Saccharomyces cerevisiae S288C: one gene and its partners. Changing the gene in region 4 together with the main gene of any one other region gives a genetic interaction. Each region holds a gene or a part of one and is shown on either strand. Other genes may lie near its edges.

Region 1 (3,598 bases), on a different chromosome or scaffold from region 4:
ATATAGTCATTACAATCTATTTCTATACTATACTCATGTTTATGGAAAGTTTCCGCGGATGAAACAAATATGTAATGCATCAACGAAACAGATGGTATACAATTTGACGAGCATGTCGCCACATGAACATACTTGGAACTTTTAATCAGGCGTAACAGGTCTTTTGGTATTTGTTCATTGAGTTTCATCTTTAAAGGCTTGAGAGATTTGTTTTTTTAAGGTTTACTTTCCTTTGCAGAATGTTGCATAATTTTCACTATCAATTATACGTTTTTCAGATCAGACGCCTGCAACCCTAATTTTCGCACTCTGAACTTCGTATTTATCGTTTATTCAGTATAGAAAAGGAATATCAAATTTGAAATTCTAGATAATATTTATATATATGAGGTATCTAGAAGTGCGTTAACATTAGTGTTAACTGGGCTGCACCCACTTGTGACGTTTAAATTTCTGTCCCGGGCCTTTATCGTTTCTAAGCGCTTTGGTACGTCACAAGAGTACGCCTGATATTTTGTTGTGACATTACGTGTATGACTTATTAATACAATTTTTATGGATGGATAATTAAATCAATTTAATATTACCATTTGATGAAAAAAAGAAGGGAAACAAAACAAACGGTAAAACACTGTTTATTTGAAATGAAATGAAATGAAACAATATTGGATATTGAAACGTTGATATATTGAATTGATTCAATAAGTATTATTATCAAGGCGTAGGTAGCGCTTGCAACTTTTCTTTCTTCAGTTCTGTGATTAGGTCTGCCCAGGACAGTAAAATTTCTTTACAAAGTGGGTGAAATTCGCCTAAGTCAGGATCATTAACAATTGCTTTCAGTAGCTTGTGTAATTTGCTTTCGCGTAGGGCCTTCAAATCAAAAAAGGGCCGTTTGGTGTCAGAATTCTCATATATTCTATTTAATAGTTCATGAGTTTCCTTGATCTCATGCTCAGTAGGAGGTGTTTCTCTCTGGATTAGATTTCTTTGAATCCTGCGGCGAAATAACTGTGAAATTTCTACTCTTCTGGAATAGTCTAATTTAACTTTCTTTTTATTGCCACTGTTTGATTTTCCTCCCGAATTAGCTGTGGGTCTCTTTTTTTTGGACGGTTTGATGTTCGGTTTGCTTTCTTCTTCATTTGATTTCTGGTTATCTTCCGGATCTTCTTTGATGGATATTGAATTTTTTTTTCTTTTATTCACTACTTTTGTTCGACCTACAAAGGGATCTTCTCCGGCAACGATTTTAGAACCTTCACTTTTCTCAAACGCTTTTAGATCACTTAACCTGTTTTCTTCTTCAAACTTTTCTTGTAAAAATACGTTGAAATCATCAAAATTTTTTGCTTCCTTATAAGCATTGACCAATTCCCTTTGGTTTGCATTTTTACTATGTTCTAATATGAAATTGTGAATGCTGTCTTGATCTAGCTCCTTTAATCTACTGGGTTGTTCCCAATAATAAGTTGGATCGTTGAAAAAACAAACAGCAACACAATTGGATTTTCTCTTTCTATATACATCGTTTCGCAGCAAACGCTGTGGAAATACTACAGCTGGCCAAGGTGGAAACGAGCCAACTTTGCATAACACTAAATCGCCTGTTCTAATATCTTTTGTCATAAACTTGCGGACCAAACCAGGGATAGCTAATATCACAAAAGAAATGGAAGTAAAAACAGAAAAAAATAAAAGGGAAAAAAAGCCAGGAGGAGCAACGACTGTAGGTCCTAAAAGAATGCTTGTGAAACTTCCAATATAAGCTTACCAGTAGTCAACTCACAATATGCAATAACAAATATCTGAGAGAAAAATAGATATGTCCAAATCTCTCTGCAGAACTTAACGAAACGTATATTGATATTTTAGCCCCTTTGATGTATTTTTTACAACAGAAGCAACTTTTGTTTATTTACCATTGATTGATTATTCTAGAAAATCAAAAAAAAAAAAAAAAATAAATAAAATAGAAAAGAAAAATACTATAATTATTACCCGCCATTGGATGTTTCAAAGTTCAATTAAGAACAGCTTACCGTAATGTAAATGGAGAGAGACCTTGTTTCTTCCGTATTGTACCAAACTATCAATCTGGAAGAAATCAACACGCTATTGCAGAGTTTTTTAATTGGGGAAGTTTAAGCCATTTTCATTGATAGGTGGTTGAAATAAGGTTATCATCCAAGGCGACTGATAGGGTTTTAAAATGTCCGAATAGTTTAATTTTGCTGCTACTCACTTTACAGTGCGACGTTATTTCTTTTATCTGTTCATTCCCTGACACACCGATGTAACTCTGAGGATTTATCCTACAAGTTATTTTTGTTATCGGAACATGCAGATTGTAAAGATCAGCTATTGCAAATTGGTGAATACAAGTGCCCTCAGAATCGCTCAGTCCTGCTCACACATAAATGCAGACGTTATTATGCTTTCTTGAAGTAAAAATTGATGATTATTAGTTGAATAGTAGTCGCTTTTCCGAAGATGTTACTTGTTAAAATAAAAATCAATTATAACCTATTGACTAGTATTCTCACTACTAGTATACTGCCATACACAATGTAAAGAGTATAACGTAAATGAGGAGTTGACACGAAAGAATTGATAACGTGATGGTGTTGGAACGAAACCCTATCATCATCTATTGACCAGTGTTCATGTTACAAGTGTATTATCATATGCGGTATAAAAAGACGACATAAAGATTGAGAAACAGTCATCTGACTTAATGGAAGCTGAAATGCAAAGATTGATAATGTAATAGGATAAGTAAGCATATAAAACGAAAGGAAAAATAATTGTAATATTATAGTGCAGGACTACCGATTCCACTTTGAGGATTCATATGTCCTCGAGAAGAACTTCAGCATATCCTGCATACATAATGTTATTGCCTTTATCAACTATGGAATTTTAACAATTATCACAAAATTCACCTAGTTCTCAGATCTTTTTTCCAACGATTACTACTGAGGATTGTTTGCCTTAGTTATCGTTCAAATGCTGTTAGCTATTTCCCTAATTAATAACAAGTGCTTGAGATGTCTTATATTTATACTACAGGTTATGGTTTTCGTGTGACCTTGTTTTGACGTCCTTTTCATGGTCTCTTGGCCCAGTTGGTTAAGGCACCGTGCTAATAACGCGGGGATCAGCGGTTCGATCCCGCTAGAGACCATTATTTTTTTTACTTTAAGTAAATAATGGGCATTACTAATGGAAGACCTATATGATGTTTTTTGTTCTTCGAATCCTAGGTATTTCAATGTAGTACAGCAATAAAGGTCTGAAACATGGTAACATATTGATATGTATGATGCTACATTAAGAGATATGAAAAACTATAAATTTTTTTTGAATGTTTTTAACGAAGTTCTTCAGGCTCCGTGTAGGAATTATAAGTTGTGAGTTGCTTCAGTGGTGAAGTGTCGTCAGCAATTTTATTCTCCTTAGAATTTCTTTTCAATTTATTACCAATAAATCTCCCAGTATGTTTTATTAAAACCTTGATTAACACTTTTTTAAGGGCAAGTAATAGATCTGTGACCCTCAAAGTTTGGTTGGACAATCTTAAAGTCGGGAAATTGAA
Region 2 (3,979 bases), on a different chromosome or scaffold from region 4:
AGATCAATGAACTGTCTAAAAATAAGGCCACCAAGATCTTCACAGGAGTAGGTTCTCAAGGTATGGAGGATAAGGCCACCTTTGTTTTCTTCACAGTGGATGAAAAAGCACCCTCATTTTTCAATAAATTTTACATTTTCTCGAGATCTGGTAGCGTTGTGAAGAATGACGCCAGGATCTTGGACTGCTTTTTCAACAGTGTGGCAGAAAATAAGCTATTGAACAGGTCAATATTAACTCAGATCCTTTCACATACGTCTGCCAAGACCCTATTTCACTCGGGGAATTCTAGATCATCCATCAAGAATATCGTGAAGCCCAAATAGGTACGGACATCTACGTAAGAATGCATGTAAATAATAATCGAATAAAAGAACAATTAAACACTTGTATATGCACGCTATATCTACAAGAATCCAAACAGTCTCAAGATGTAGTCGACTGCCAAGGCGTACGTAAAGTAAAGTCCGGTGTTGATATTTGCATTAAAATACTTCCAGCAGTTTTTAGGATTGTCAAGATCCACTTTCTTTATCATGCTGAAGAGTCTATAAGCGAAGACTCCTAGTCCACCAATGAACCCAGGCCCCCATAACAACCCACTGTTCAAGCCGGCGACAGCTAACAGTGCGATTTGAGACGCGGACATGGCCTTCATGATAGACTTTGTGCGTGGACCCCAAGCCAAAGCGGTAGACTTGATTCCAGCCTTGATGTCAAACTTTTTATCCTGGTGTGCGTATATAGTATCGTAAGTCATACACCACAAGTAACTGCTCAGGTACAAAGGTATCATTGTAGGCCAGCTCATTACACCCATGGCAGGAAACCCAAGTAACGCTCCCCAATTGAAACATGCACTTAATGCAGCTTGAGGATAGTACGTAAACCGCTTAAACAAAGGGTATGTGAACACAATAGGTAACGATGCAAGGCCTAGCCACCAACACTGCGCAGGAAGCAAAGATAGAACGCCCATTCCAACAAGAGTTTGAGCCCCCAAGAATACTAACGCCCGACGGGGGCTCACTCTACCAGAGGCGATAGGCCTCTCGACGGACCTGATAACTCTTTGATCCAACTTTCTATCCAAAAAATCGTTGATGGTGCAGCCAGCACCTCTCATTACCAATGCACCTACACCGAAAATACCCAACATACCAGCTGTTGCGCTCAATGTAGCACCTTGCATCATGGCTCCCATAAGTATAGACCAACTGCAGGGCAAATATAACAGCCACGTGCCCACGGGTTTCTCTAGCCTCATCAGCTCCGCATACGGTATCCATTTCTTAGGCAGCCGAGACACGAACGGTCCCAGTCCATCCAATCTTTCCTTTCTTGCAACTTCCAACTCTTTCGACGTAAACACAGGTGCTGATTCTTTCGAGGAAGGGGAGGAGGAGGAGGAGGAAGAAGACGTATATCTCTTTCTGCTGCTTCCAATGATTCCAGCAACGGTAACTCGGCCGCTGCCCAGAATGGACCTCCCTAGTAAAATACTCTTTCTCTGCCAAATAAACATTAGTTGACACTGTTATTCTACGACAGTTATTTCTACTGTAATCTATAGTATACTCCGCCCTTCTGATAACCTTACTTTTAATTTTGGCCTGATTCTTGTGAAACTTTTCCACGATGCCGAAATCGCCGAAATGGCTCGTTTAGCCTTTTCTCGAAGATTGATATATAAAGAGCATCCATCGTGCTGGTAATGGTGATGCAAGATTGAAAATTCCCAGACAGTGAGCACCAGCACAATGACCGTTTACACAGCATCCGTTACCGCACCCGTCAACATCGCAACCCTTAAGTATTGGGGGAAAAGGGACACGAAGTTGAATCTGCCCACCAATTCGTCCATATCAGTGACTTTATCGCAAGATGACCTCAGAACGTTGACCTCTGCGGCTACTGCACCTGAGTTTGAACGCGACACTTTGTGGTTAAATGGAGAACCACACAGCATCGACAATGAAAGAACTCAAAATTGTCTGCGCGACCTACGCCAATTAAGAAAGGAAATGGAATCGAAGGACGCCTCATTGCCCACATTATCTCAATGGAAACTCCACATTGTCTCCGAAAATAACTTTCCTACAGCAGCTGGTTTAGCTTCCTCCGCTGCTGGCTTTGCTGCATTGGTCTCTGCAATTGCTAAGTTATACCAATTACCACAGTCAACTTCAGAAATATCTAGAATAGCAAGAAAGGGGTCTGGTTCAGCTTGTAGATCGTTGTTTGGCGGATACGTGGCCTGGGAAATGGGAAAAGCTGAAGATGGTCATGATTCCATGGCAGTACAAATCGCAGACAGCTCTGACTGGCCTCAGATGAAAGCTTGTGTCCTAGTTGTCAGCGATATTAAAAAGGATGTGAGTTCCACTCAGGGTATGCAATTGACCGTGGCAACCTCCGAACTATTTAAAGAAAGAATTGAACATGTCGTACCAAAGAGATTTGAAGTCATGCGTAAAGCCATTGTTGAAAAAGATTTCGCCACCTTTGCAAAGGAAACAATGATGGATTCCAACTCTTTCCATGCCACATGTTTGGACTCTTTCCCTCCAATATTCTACATGAATGACACTTCCAAGCGTATCATCAGTTGGTGCCACACCATTAATCAGTTTTACGGAGAAACAATCGTTGCATACACGTTTGATGCAGGTCCAAATGCTGTGTTGTACTACTTAGCTGAAAATGAGTCGAAACTCTTTGCATTTATCTATAAATTGTTTGGCTCTGTTCCTGGATGGGACAAGAAATTTACTACTGAGCAGCTTGAGGCTTTCAACCATCAATTTGAATCATCTAACTTTACTGCACGTGAATTGGATCTTGAGTTGCAAAAGGATGTTGCCAGAGTGATTTTAACTCAAGTCGGTTCAGGCCCACAAGAAACAAACGAATCTTTGATTGACGCAAAGACTGGTCTACCAAAGGAATAAGATCAATTCGATATGTAACATTTTTCTTTTCTTTTCTTTTCCTTTTTTTACAATAGCTAATTTACGTTTCCCTACGGTATTGGTCGGAACGACCAAGCTTCAATTTATAAATATCTTAATTTTAACAGCAGTTACCACTTGAATGAGAAACTTTTTGATGCCTACTCTTTTGCTTTTTCATATCATGACCTCCCTACATGCTTCGGAATTTCCTTATTCGTAGCTGTCTAACAGCACCACTTAGCACAAGTACGTCCACCCGTTTCATACTTAAAGATCTCAGCAGCCACCCAATCTACATTTAGGGTACCTGTCACATATCTTCTCAAATTTTAGGTTAGCTTTCAATTGTAAAGTCTCTTTTTGGATATTGCACGTTTCAAGTCAAAACGCGGCTGTAACATAATTTTCTGAAACAATATTAAAACATAGTAATGACTTAAAACAAGCGACTATCGCAAATAAGCAGTTCCCAGCAAGCAATTAAAACGTATATAAGCGCAGAATAATGATCTATCATCAATAATTATCGTGAACTTTTCCAGTATTTACGTTCATCTTTGAAAAACGGCGAGCATTAACAATAAAAGCTAAAAAAACCAAAAAATTTCAGATGACATTATCTTTCGCTCATTTTACCTACCTGTTCACAATATTGTTGGGATTAACTAATATTGCCTTGGCATCTGATCCAGAAACGATTCTAGTGACGATAACCAAGACAAACGATGCAAATGGGGTTGTTACAACTACAGTTTCACCCGCGCTAGTCTCCACATCCACTATCGTTCAAGCTGGCACTACGACATTGTATACGACTTGGTGTCCATTGACGGTATCCACTTCATCTGCTGCCGAAATAAGTCCTTCAATATCGTACGCTACTACCCTATCCAGATTTAGTACTTTGACATTATCTACAGAAGTCTGCTCCCATGAGGCATGTCCTTCGTCATCGACGTTGCCAACCACCACCTTATCTGTGACTTCCAAGTTCACTTCATATATTTGCCCTACTTGTCACACAA
Region 3 (3,739 bases), on a different chromosome or scaffold from region 4:
GAGCAAAACAAGTCAAACTCAGTTATAGAGGAAATAAGTGAAATAGAACCTCTCAACCTGGAATATAATAAAAAAAGCGCGTTGTACTCTGATACATCGTCCACCGTTATCAGTATCTCAACGAGCAAGCTTTTTGAATCTGCTCAGAATAGTCCTCTAAAACAAACTCAAAATCCACAGAGAGAATTTCCCAACGGGACCAGCGTGAGTGAAACCAATAGAATCAGATTATCCATAGCACCCACAATAGAATCTGTTGTAAGTGATTTGAATTCGATTACCACTGGTAGCACAGTTGAAACTTTCGAAACGTCCAGAGATTTACCAGTGCCACACCAAAGGATAATAAATTTGAGAGAAGAATATCAAAGGGGTAATCAAGATATAATCTCAAATACTTCTTCATTGCATGAGTTAAAAACAATTGATTTAAGCGATTCCAATAATGACCTAGAAAGTCCAAGTACCCATGCGAAAAACAACAAGTATTTTTTTTCACCAGATGACGGTAGCATTGACGTTGCTTCTCCAATGAAAAACGTTGAAGAGCTGAAAAGTAAATTTCTGAAGAACGAGAGTGAAACTAATAGTAACATATCAGGAAGTGTATTGACAATGGACGATATCGACATTAATGACACATCTAGTGCCCGGAACACACGGAGAGCAAACTCTGAGTCGGCTTTTACAGGCTCCTTGAATAAGAAAAATTTAAATGAAATTGCTAATATGCTCGATGATTCAATTAATGACGATCCAATAACCGTGGCATTAATGAAACTGGAAGGTACATACGAGAAAATTCCCGAAAAACCAGAGAACACCAAGAGTAGTGACGCTATTGGAATTAAAACGAGCAAGTTAGCAGATGAAGTGGAAATGCTAAACCTTAACAACTTGCCGTCATTCCAAAATAGCCCCGCAGAAAAAAGAAAATCGTTATTAATAGAAAGAAGGAGACAAACTATAATGAATATCCCCTTTACTCCAGATCAATCCGAGAAGGAAGGCTTTACTTCCTCCTCTCCTGAAAAAATAGACGTGTCAGCTAATGTTGATGTTGCTGTGCAAGCGGCGCAAATCCAGGAATTAATCGGTCAATACAGGATTCACGATTCGAGATTAATGATTTCTAATAATGAAAGTCACGTTCCATTTATACTAATGTACGATTCCCTGTCTGTAGCGCAACAAATGACCTTGATAGAGAAGGAAATTTTAGGAGAAATAGACTGGAAAGATTTATTAGATTTAAAGATGAAGCATGAAGGCCCACAAGTTATAAGTTGGTTGCAACTACTAGTAAGGAACGAGACCTTATCTGGCATTGATTTAGCTATATCCAGATTTAACTTAACTGTGGATTGGATTATATCAGAAATACTTCTTACCAAGAGCAGCAAAATGAAAAGAAATGTCATTCAAAGGTTTATACACGTTGCAGACCACTGCAGGACATTTCAGAACTTTAACACATTGATGGAAATCATTCTAGCCTTAAGTTCTTCAGTTGTTCAAAAATTCACTGATGCATGGCGTCTGATTGAACCAGGCGACTTACTGACTTGGGAAGAGCTAAAGAAGATTCCCTCGCTAGACAGGAATTATTCTACAATAAGAAATCTACTTAACTCTGTGAATCCACTGGTGGGTTGCGTCCCTTTCATCGTCGTATATCTTTCGGACCTATCAGCAAACGCAGAGAAGAAAGACTGGATCTTAGAAGATAAAGTAGTGAATTACAATAAATTCGATACGAACGTTCAAATAGTCAAGAATTTCATTCAAAGGGTTCAATGGTCCAAGTTTTACACTTTCAAAGTTAACCACGAATTGCTGAGTAAGTGTGTTTATATTAGCACATTAACACAAGAAGAGATTAATGAACTATCCACATGAGGTATTGTGCCACTTTCCTCCAGTTCCCAAATTCCTCTTGTAAAAAACTTTGCATATAAAATATACAGATGGAGCATATATAGATGGAGCATACATACATGTTTTTTTTTTTTTAAAAACATGGACTCGAACAGAATAAAAGAATTTATAATGATAGATAATGCATACTTCAATAAGAGAGAATACTTGTTTTTAAATGAGAATTGCTTTCATTAGCTCATTATGTTCAGATTATCAAAATGCAGTAGGGTAATAAACCTTTTTTTTTTTTTTTTTTTTTTTTGAAAAATTTTCCGATGAGCTTTTGAAAAAAAATGAAAAAGTGATTGGTATAGAGGCAGATATTGCATTGCTTAGTTCTTTCTTTTGACAGTGTTCTCTTCAGTACATAACTACAACGGTTAGAATACAACGAGGATATGTCCGACGAAATTGTTTGGCAAGTGATTAATCAAAGTTTCTGCTCTCATAGAATTAAGGCACCTAATGGTCAAAATTTTTGCAGAAATGAGTATAACGTCACTGGGTTGTGTACAAGGCAATCATGCCCACTTGCCAACTCCAAGTATGCAACAGTGAAGTGTGACAATGGGAAACTGTACTTGTATATGAAGACGCCTGAAAGAGCGCACACTCCTGCCAAGTTATGGGAAAGAATCAAACTATCCAAAAATTACACGAAGGCTTTACAACAGATCGACGAACACCTACTACATTGGAGCAAGTTTTTCCGTCATAAGTGTAAACAGAGATTTACAAAATTGACGCAGGTCATGATAACAGAGAGACGTTTAGCATTAAGGGAGGAGGAGAGACACTACGTTGGTGTAGCACCAAAGGTCAAAAGAAGAGAACAAAACAGGGAGAGAAAGGCATTGGTAGCTGCCAAGATTGAAAAAGCCATCGAAAAAGAATTGATGGACAGATTAAAGAGTGGTGCTTACGGTGATAAACCATTAAATGTTGACGAAAAGGTCTGGAAGAAGATAATGGGTCAAATGGAAGAGGAGAATTCTCAGGACGAGGAAGAAGACTGGGATGAAGAAGAGGAAAGTGATGATGGGGAAGTTGAATACGTTGCAGATGATGGCGAAGGTGAATACGTTGACGTGGATGACTTAGAAAAGTGGTTAGCTGACTCTGACAGAGAAGCTTCCAGCGCCAGTGAAAGCGAAAGCGACAGTGAAAGCGAGAGCGACAGCGATAGTGATGAAGAAAATAAGAATTCAGCCAAGAGACGTAAGAAGGGAACTAGTGCCAAAACTAAACGTCCTAAAGTCGAAATCGAATACGAGGAGGAACACGAAGTTCAAAATGCTGAGCAAGAAGTGGCACAATAAGCTCACGCACTATACTACGCAACATTACATGATTTCAGTTTCTATTATTGAATGAACAGGATTTTTCCACGTGGATTGGGCAGCGCACTGTACCATAATAACAACCAGTTATAAAATATTTCAATTCTTTTACATATATAAAAATACATAAAGACTATTATTTTTGTAAGATGGCCCATTCTGTAACACTTAAATTTCTTATCAAAAAAAAAAAAAATAATACCTTTAGTAGCTGTTGGGCTAATAACATTGCAAATTAGAAGCTTACTATTAGAAGCTTACTATTACGGGATTATTGAGGTAAAGGTTATTTGAAGCGTAAATCACTGAAATCTTCCTGATCACGTGATTGGCTTTTTTTGCCAGAAAACCCAAATCTGTTTAATGCCACTAAGTTGAAGAAACATATAATCAACAATTGTTGGCAATTCTAAGGGGAATAGTGCAACAAGAAGCCAGTAACGCCAAATAGAGGTTAGCGCCAAGCAATAATTTACTGG
Region 4 (4,024 bases):
TGTTACTCGCAGAATCATTTAAATTTCCATATTTAACACCAGAATTTCCACTCTCTTGGGTTGGTGATTTGTGCAGGTTCTCTGGTTTTTCTATTGCTATTCTTTTGGTAAATACCGCTGGGTATAAACCTTCCTCTTTGGTTCTCAAATTGCGCCCATAATACCAGCCGTCATTGTACTCCCCATCATCAGTAATGACTTTAATTTTATCACCTGGTTTCATATTGAGCTCGTCCTCCATTCGTTTAGAGTACTGATTTACCGCAATATACAGAGGAAAAGATTTGGCCCCTTTGCCTAGGGTATTTCCTTCGAGACTCATCTTCTATTTTTTATTATTACAGTGGCCTCCGGTCACCTCGAGTTAGAACTTTGTTGAAATTCAGTAAAACAATTGTTTCTTTAGACAGACGCAGTAAAACTGCTTGATAGAGCGAAGAATTGCCTTTAATTGACGCACCCAATTCTTCGGATGTAAATCAGAAAGTATCCTAAGGGAAGCGTATAGTTTTCAGTTTCTTTTTCCTTTTTTTTTTCGTTTTCTGCCAAATTTTTAGTGCCATGTTATTCATTTACCTTTCACGTCCTTTCGTTTGTTTTGGTACGGGGGAATGTCGTTTCCGACTACGCGGTTTCGAAAGTAGTGCAATGTGGCTGAGCTCTCCCCCCCACACGTGATAGCCTTTCTTACGCGTCAATAGAATAGAAAGCTCACATACTCTTGAATATTTGGTAACATCTTTTGAAGGACAAGTTCATACAATTATATGATATGCTTCAAGTTTTCCAGAAAAGATTTCTAGGCATGCCATACTTCCCTTTTTTTTAATTTTTGTCACGAAATCCTGGTATTTATTCTTGGAATGTATTTTTTTCTTTTGAAACACATTACCAACTCTTTTCAAAATCTCCAGGAATGGCAGAGAAGAAAACAAATTTTTATCTGCAAAACCCCGGAGAACACTCAAATTCCTAAATCATGACTGTACTGTTAAGTCATGCCGTAGTAAATATTGCACGATATCATCTTGATGTAAACTGGACTTCGTTTAGATCTACCAGCATACCAGCTCTACGTTTTCTGATAATTTAGCTCCACTTCGTTAAAAAAATTTACCGGCTGATAGGGAGAGAGTCACTGCTTCGATAGAGACTTTAATTTTAATATTACTTTCATCTTCATGCGGCTCGGCTCCCATGTATTCACCGCTCGTAGAAGGGAGAAGAGTTGGTAACTTTTCTTTTTCATTTCTTGCCCAAATATTGCGAACATGATAGCAGTTGATGGAAACGTAATCAGTTAAGTGTCTTAATTAGCCACCATTCAGAGGTCTTGGATGCATATATAACAATCTCGGCGGCTAAATCAAGATATTTATTTCCGGGTAAAGAACGCGTGGGTATATTTCTTTTTTTTTTTTCGGGAGAAGTTTTCTCAGGGTCCCCCCCCTTTGTATCTCTTAAGATGACCAAGTACGGTGACAACGGCAAAGCTCACTTGCTAATGAAGGAGTGAACACCTTCTAATTTCATTCAGGTTGCTTAGAAGTATTAGGTACCCAAGAAAGGTATAATACCGCTCACAAAATATTAAGATGCCATTTAATCATAATAGCAAGGCAAAAAGACCAAAGTTTCTACTGGACCTGCAAATCAAAGAATTGGTAAATATTCCTCAATCTTCTGGCTATTGCTACACGAAATGGCGTTTGAAGGATGGAACAGGTACGTCGGGACACAAAGTGGCTCTGGACGGTGAGCATCAAACCACTTCGACCCAGAGTAGAGGTACAACAAAACACGTGCATGTGCAACATCATAGAGCACAATGGAATTATTCATTAGACAAACCAATCCTGGTGAAGCTCCACTTGGATAAAAACGGCAGATTCTTGAAGAAAATTTTGGTGTTGGATGTTTTTTTTGAGTTTGCTGATGCGAATTCCTCGTTGACTTCTAGTTCTAGTCCCAATGGCAAAGTGAAGAAAACGACCTATGCTAACGCCACTGCACTAACGGCCACAGGAAACAATTCATATTCTCAAAAGATAACGGGTAAACTTCTATTGGGAACAGTAGACATAGATATAACAGAATACGTCAAAGAAGACGAAACTCCCACAACAAACAGATTTCTCCTAAAGCACTCAAAGGTCAATTCTATAATCAACGTCTCATTGCAGTTGAAGCTAGTTAGAGGCTCTTACGAAGATTTCAACATTTCCAAATCGTTTACTAATGGCCAGCTCGCTAATTACAGGCCAGGAATAAATACTATACTGGATAACACGTCTGAACTATCTAGCCCCACATCAACAACAAACCAGATGTCACCCAAGAATACATTCTCCAATTTTAACGGTATTGGAACAACTGTAGCGAAACCCGGTACAAATGCGACAGGAAACAGCACAAGTATTAAATCACCGACTTCTACCAACCACAAGAGTAGCGAAATGACAACAAAGCCAGGGCTGTCAACAACAATATCTTCCTCTATGAGCCCACTGATTGAGAGCTTGTACCAGAAAACGTTTAAATTACCGTGGGATCCTCGACCAGGTGAATTTACGCCAAGAGAATGCGTGGAAGATATTTTACAAGGCGGAAACGGTTGGGCTAAGAACGAGAAGGGCATAAATTTAATCGATTTACAGGCATTGAGATTGAACGAAATGGAAGAAGAGTACTACAATCCAAATTATGGCAATAACCTTGGGAACAAGGCAAGTAGTTGGCCTCCAAATCCAAGCGATGACGGCTACAGCACAATGGGCAAAAGAGAGTATTTGGAGAAAAAGCAGAATTGGAGTCATATGTCACGAGCACAACGTGCAAAACTGAGGACTCATAATGACGAGGATAACGAAAATACGGCTAATGATAAAGGGAGCGACAAGGATAATAACTCTGTCGAAGACAATAACCCCACGGACTTTTTAACAGATAGAATAAGAGAAAACAAAAACTGGTCTATAATAACCCCATCGGGCTAGAATATTTGTATTGTTTTATGTAATTATAATCTTAAGCTTGCAATACCAATCACTATTACCATGTTAATGATCCCCCAGATAAAAAGACAAGACAGAGCATATATCAGACTACATTAACATCTGTACACCCCCAACTGCTTTGAAAAACCCATGCAGTTATTATTTTCAACAGACCAAGTTTTTTTATCGCTTATCCGGCTCACAGAACGAGCCGTACAACCGTCATCAGACTTGCATGGAAATGTTGAAAAAGAGGTAAAAAAGAAAATATCAAACCCAAACACGCTCGGGCTGAAAAATTAATATGGCAGGAAACGAACTGTAGCCATAATGTACCTGTTCCCGCTAATAGTAATACCATCGTATTGCTAAGGTTAGTAGCTAAAAATCTCTTACTTTCTTTATTTTGACTCTTAGGTCTTACAAGCAATACAAAACCAACACACCTATATATAACTAATAATGTCCGGTAACGGTGCTCAAGGTACTAAGTTTAGAATCTCAGTATGTTAAAATTTTTATTTTCCACAATGCAATTTGGTTAAATTGATCATAAAGTAAAGTTCCAAGATTTCATTTTGCTGGGTACAACAGAATTAAACAGAGGTTTAAAAGACGCTAAACACTAAGTGTGAAGCCTGATCATATACCTATCGGTGTTATTTTCCATAAGAATGGTAGATGTGCCATCACTGGTACCGCCCCGCCAAAGATGCAATTACACACATAAATTCAGTTTTTAAATGGTTAAGCGGGCTGTATTTGCAGATGAAGTGATACCTGTCAATATTCATGGACTCAAAAATTTCTGGTTTCAAAATCATACACGGCAAGCATATCCTAACTCCCTCTTTTGCCCATACTAATGGATAACCATCGAAATGTTATTTCTACAAAAATCACGCTTAACTCTATTTTTCAAGATTAACCACATCTGCTAACTTTCTCCCTATGCTTTTACTAACAAAATTATTCTCACTCCCCGATATTGAGATCTTTTTTAACTAGTTAGGTCTACCAGTCGGTGC

Evidence for each region.
Region 1: mutations in YBL086C (region 4) and PDP3 together harm fitness more than expected from each alone (negative genetic interaction), as found in Saccharomyces cerevisiae (one large-scale study listed by BioGRID).
Region 2: mutations in YBL086C (region 4) and MVD1 together harm fitness more than expected from each alone (negative genetic interaction), as found in Saccharomyces cerevisiae (one large-scale study listed by BioGRID).
Region 3: mutations in YBL086C (region 4) and MAK16 together harm fitness less than expected from each alone (positive genetic interaction), as found in Saccharomyces cerevisiae (one large-scale study listed by BioGRID).

Annotation. Positions count from the first base shown.
Region 1 is NC_001144.5:1,051,660-1,055,257, reverse strand, and holds PDP3 (Pdp3p), read right to left. Parts: upstream 1,630-3,598; coding exon 715-1,629; downstream 1-714. Other genes in the region: YLR456W (pyridoxal 5'-phosphate synthase), read right to left, coding at 1-188; FMP27 (Fmp27p), read right to left, coding at 3,374-3,598. UniProt on the Saccharomyces cerevisiae protein: Histone-binding component of the NuA3b histone acetyltransferase complex. Targets the NuA3b HAT complex via histone H3K36me3 to the coding regions of actively transcribed genes to coordinate transcription elongation.
Region 2 is NC_001146.8:700,135-704,113, forward strand, and holds MVD1 (diphosphomevalonate decarboxylase MVD1), read left to right. Parts: upstream 1-1,760; coding exon 1,761-2,951; downstream 2,952-3,979. Other genes in the region: MRX15 (Mrx15p), read left to right, coding at 1-326; COQ2 (4-hydroxybenzoate octaprenyltransferase), read right to left, coding at 407-1,525; AGA1 (Aga1p), read left to right, coding at 3,565-3,979. UniProt on the Saccharomyces cerevisiae protein: Diphosphomevalonate decarboxylase; part of the second module of ergosterol biosynthesis pathway that includes the middle steps of the pathway. MVD1/ERG19 converts diphosphomevalonate into isopentenyl diphosphate.
Region 3 is NC_001133.9:99,725-103,463, reverse strand, and holds MAK16 (ribosome biosynthesis protein MAK16), read left to right. Parts: upstream 1-2,318; coding exon 2,319-3,239; downstream 3,240-3,739. Other genes in the region: mitotic regulator LTE1, read left to right, coding at 1-1,899.
Region 4 is NC_001134.8:60,174-64,197, reverse strand, and holds YBL086C (uncharacterized protein), read left to right. Parts: upstream 1-1,595; coding exon 1,596-2,996; downstream 2,997-4,024. Other genes in the region: BOI1 (Boi1p), read right to left, coding at 1-322; 60S ribosomal protein uL14 RPL23A, read left to right, coding at 3,459-3,500, 4,005-4,024.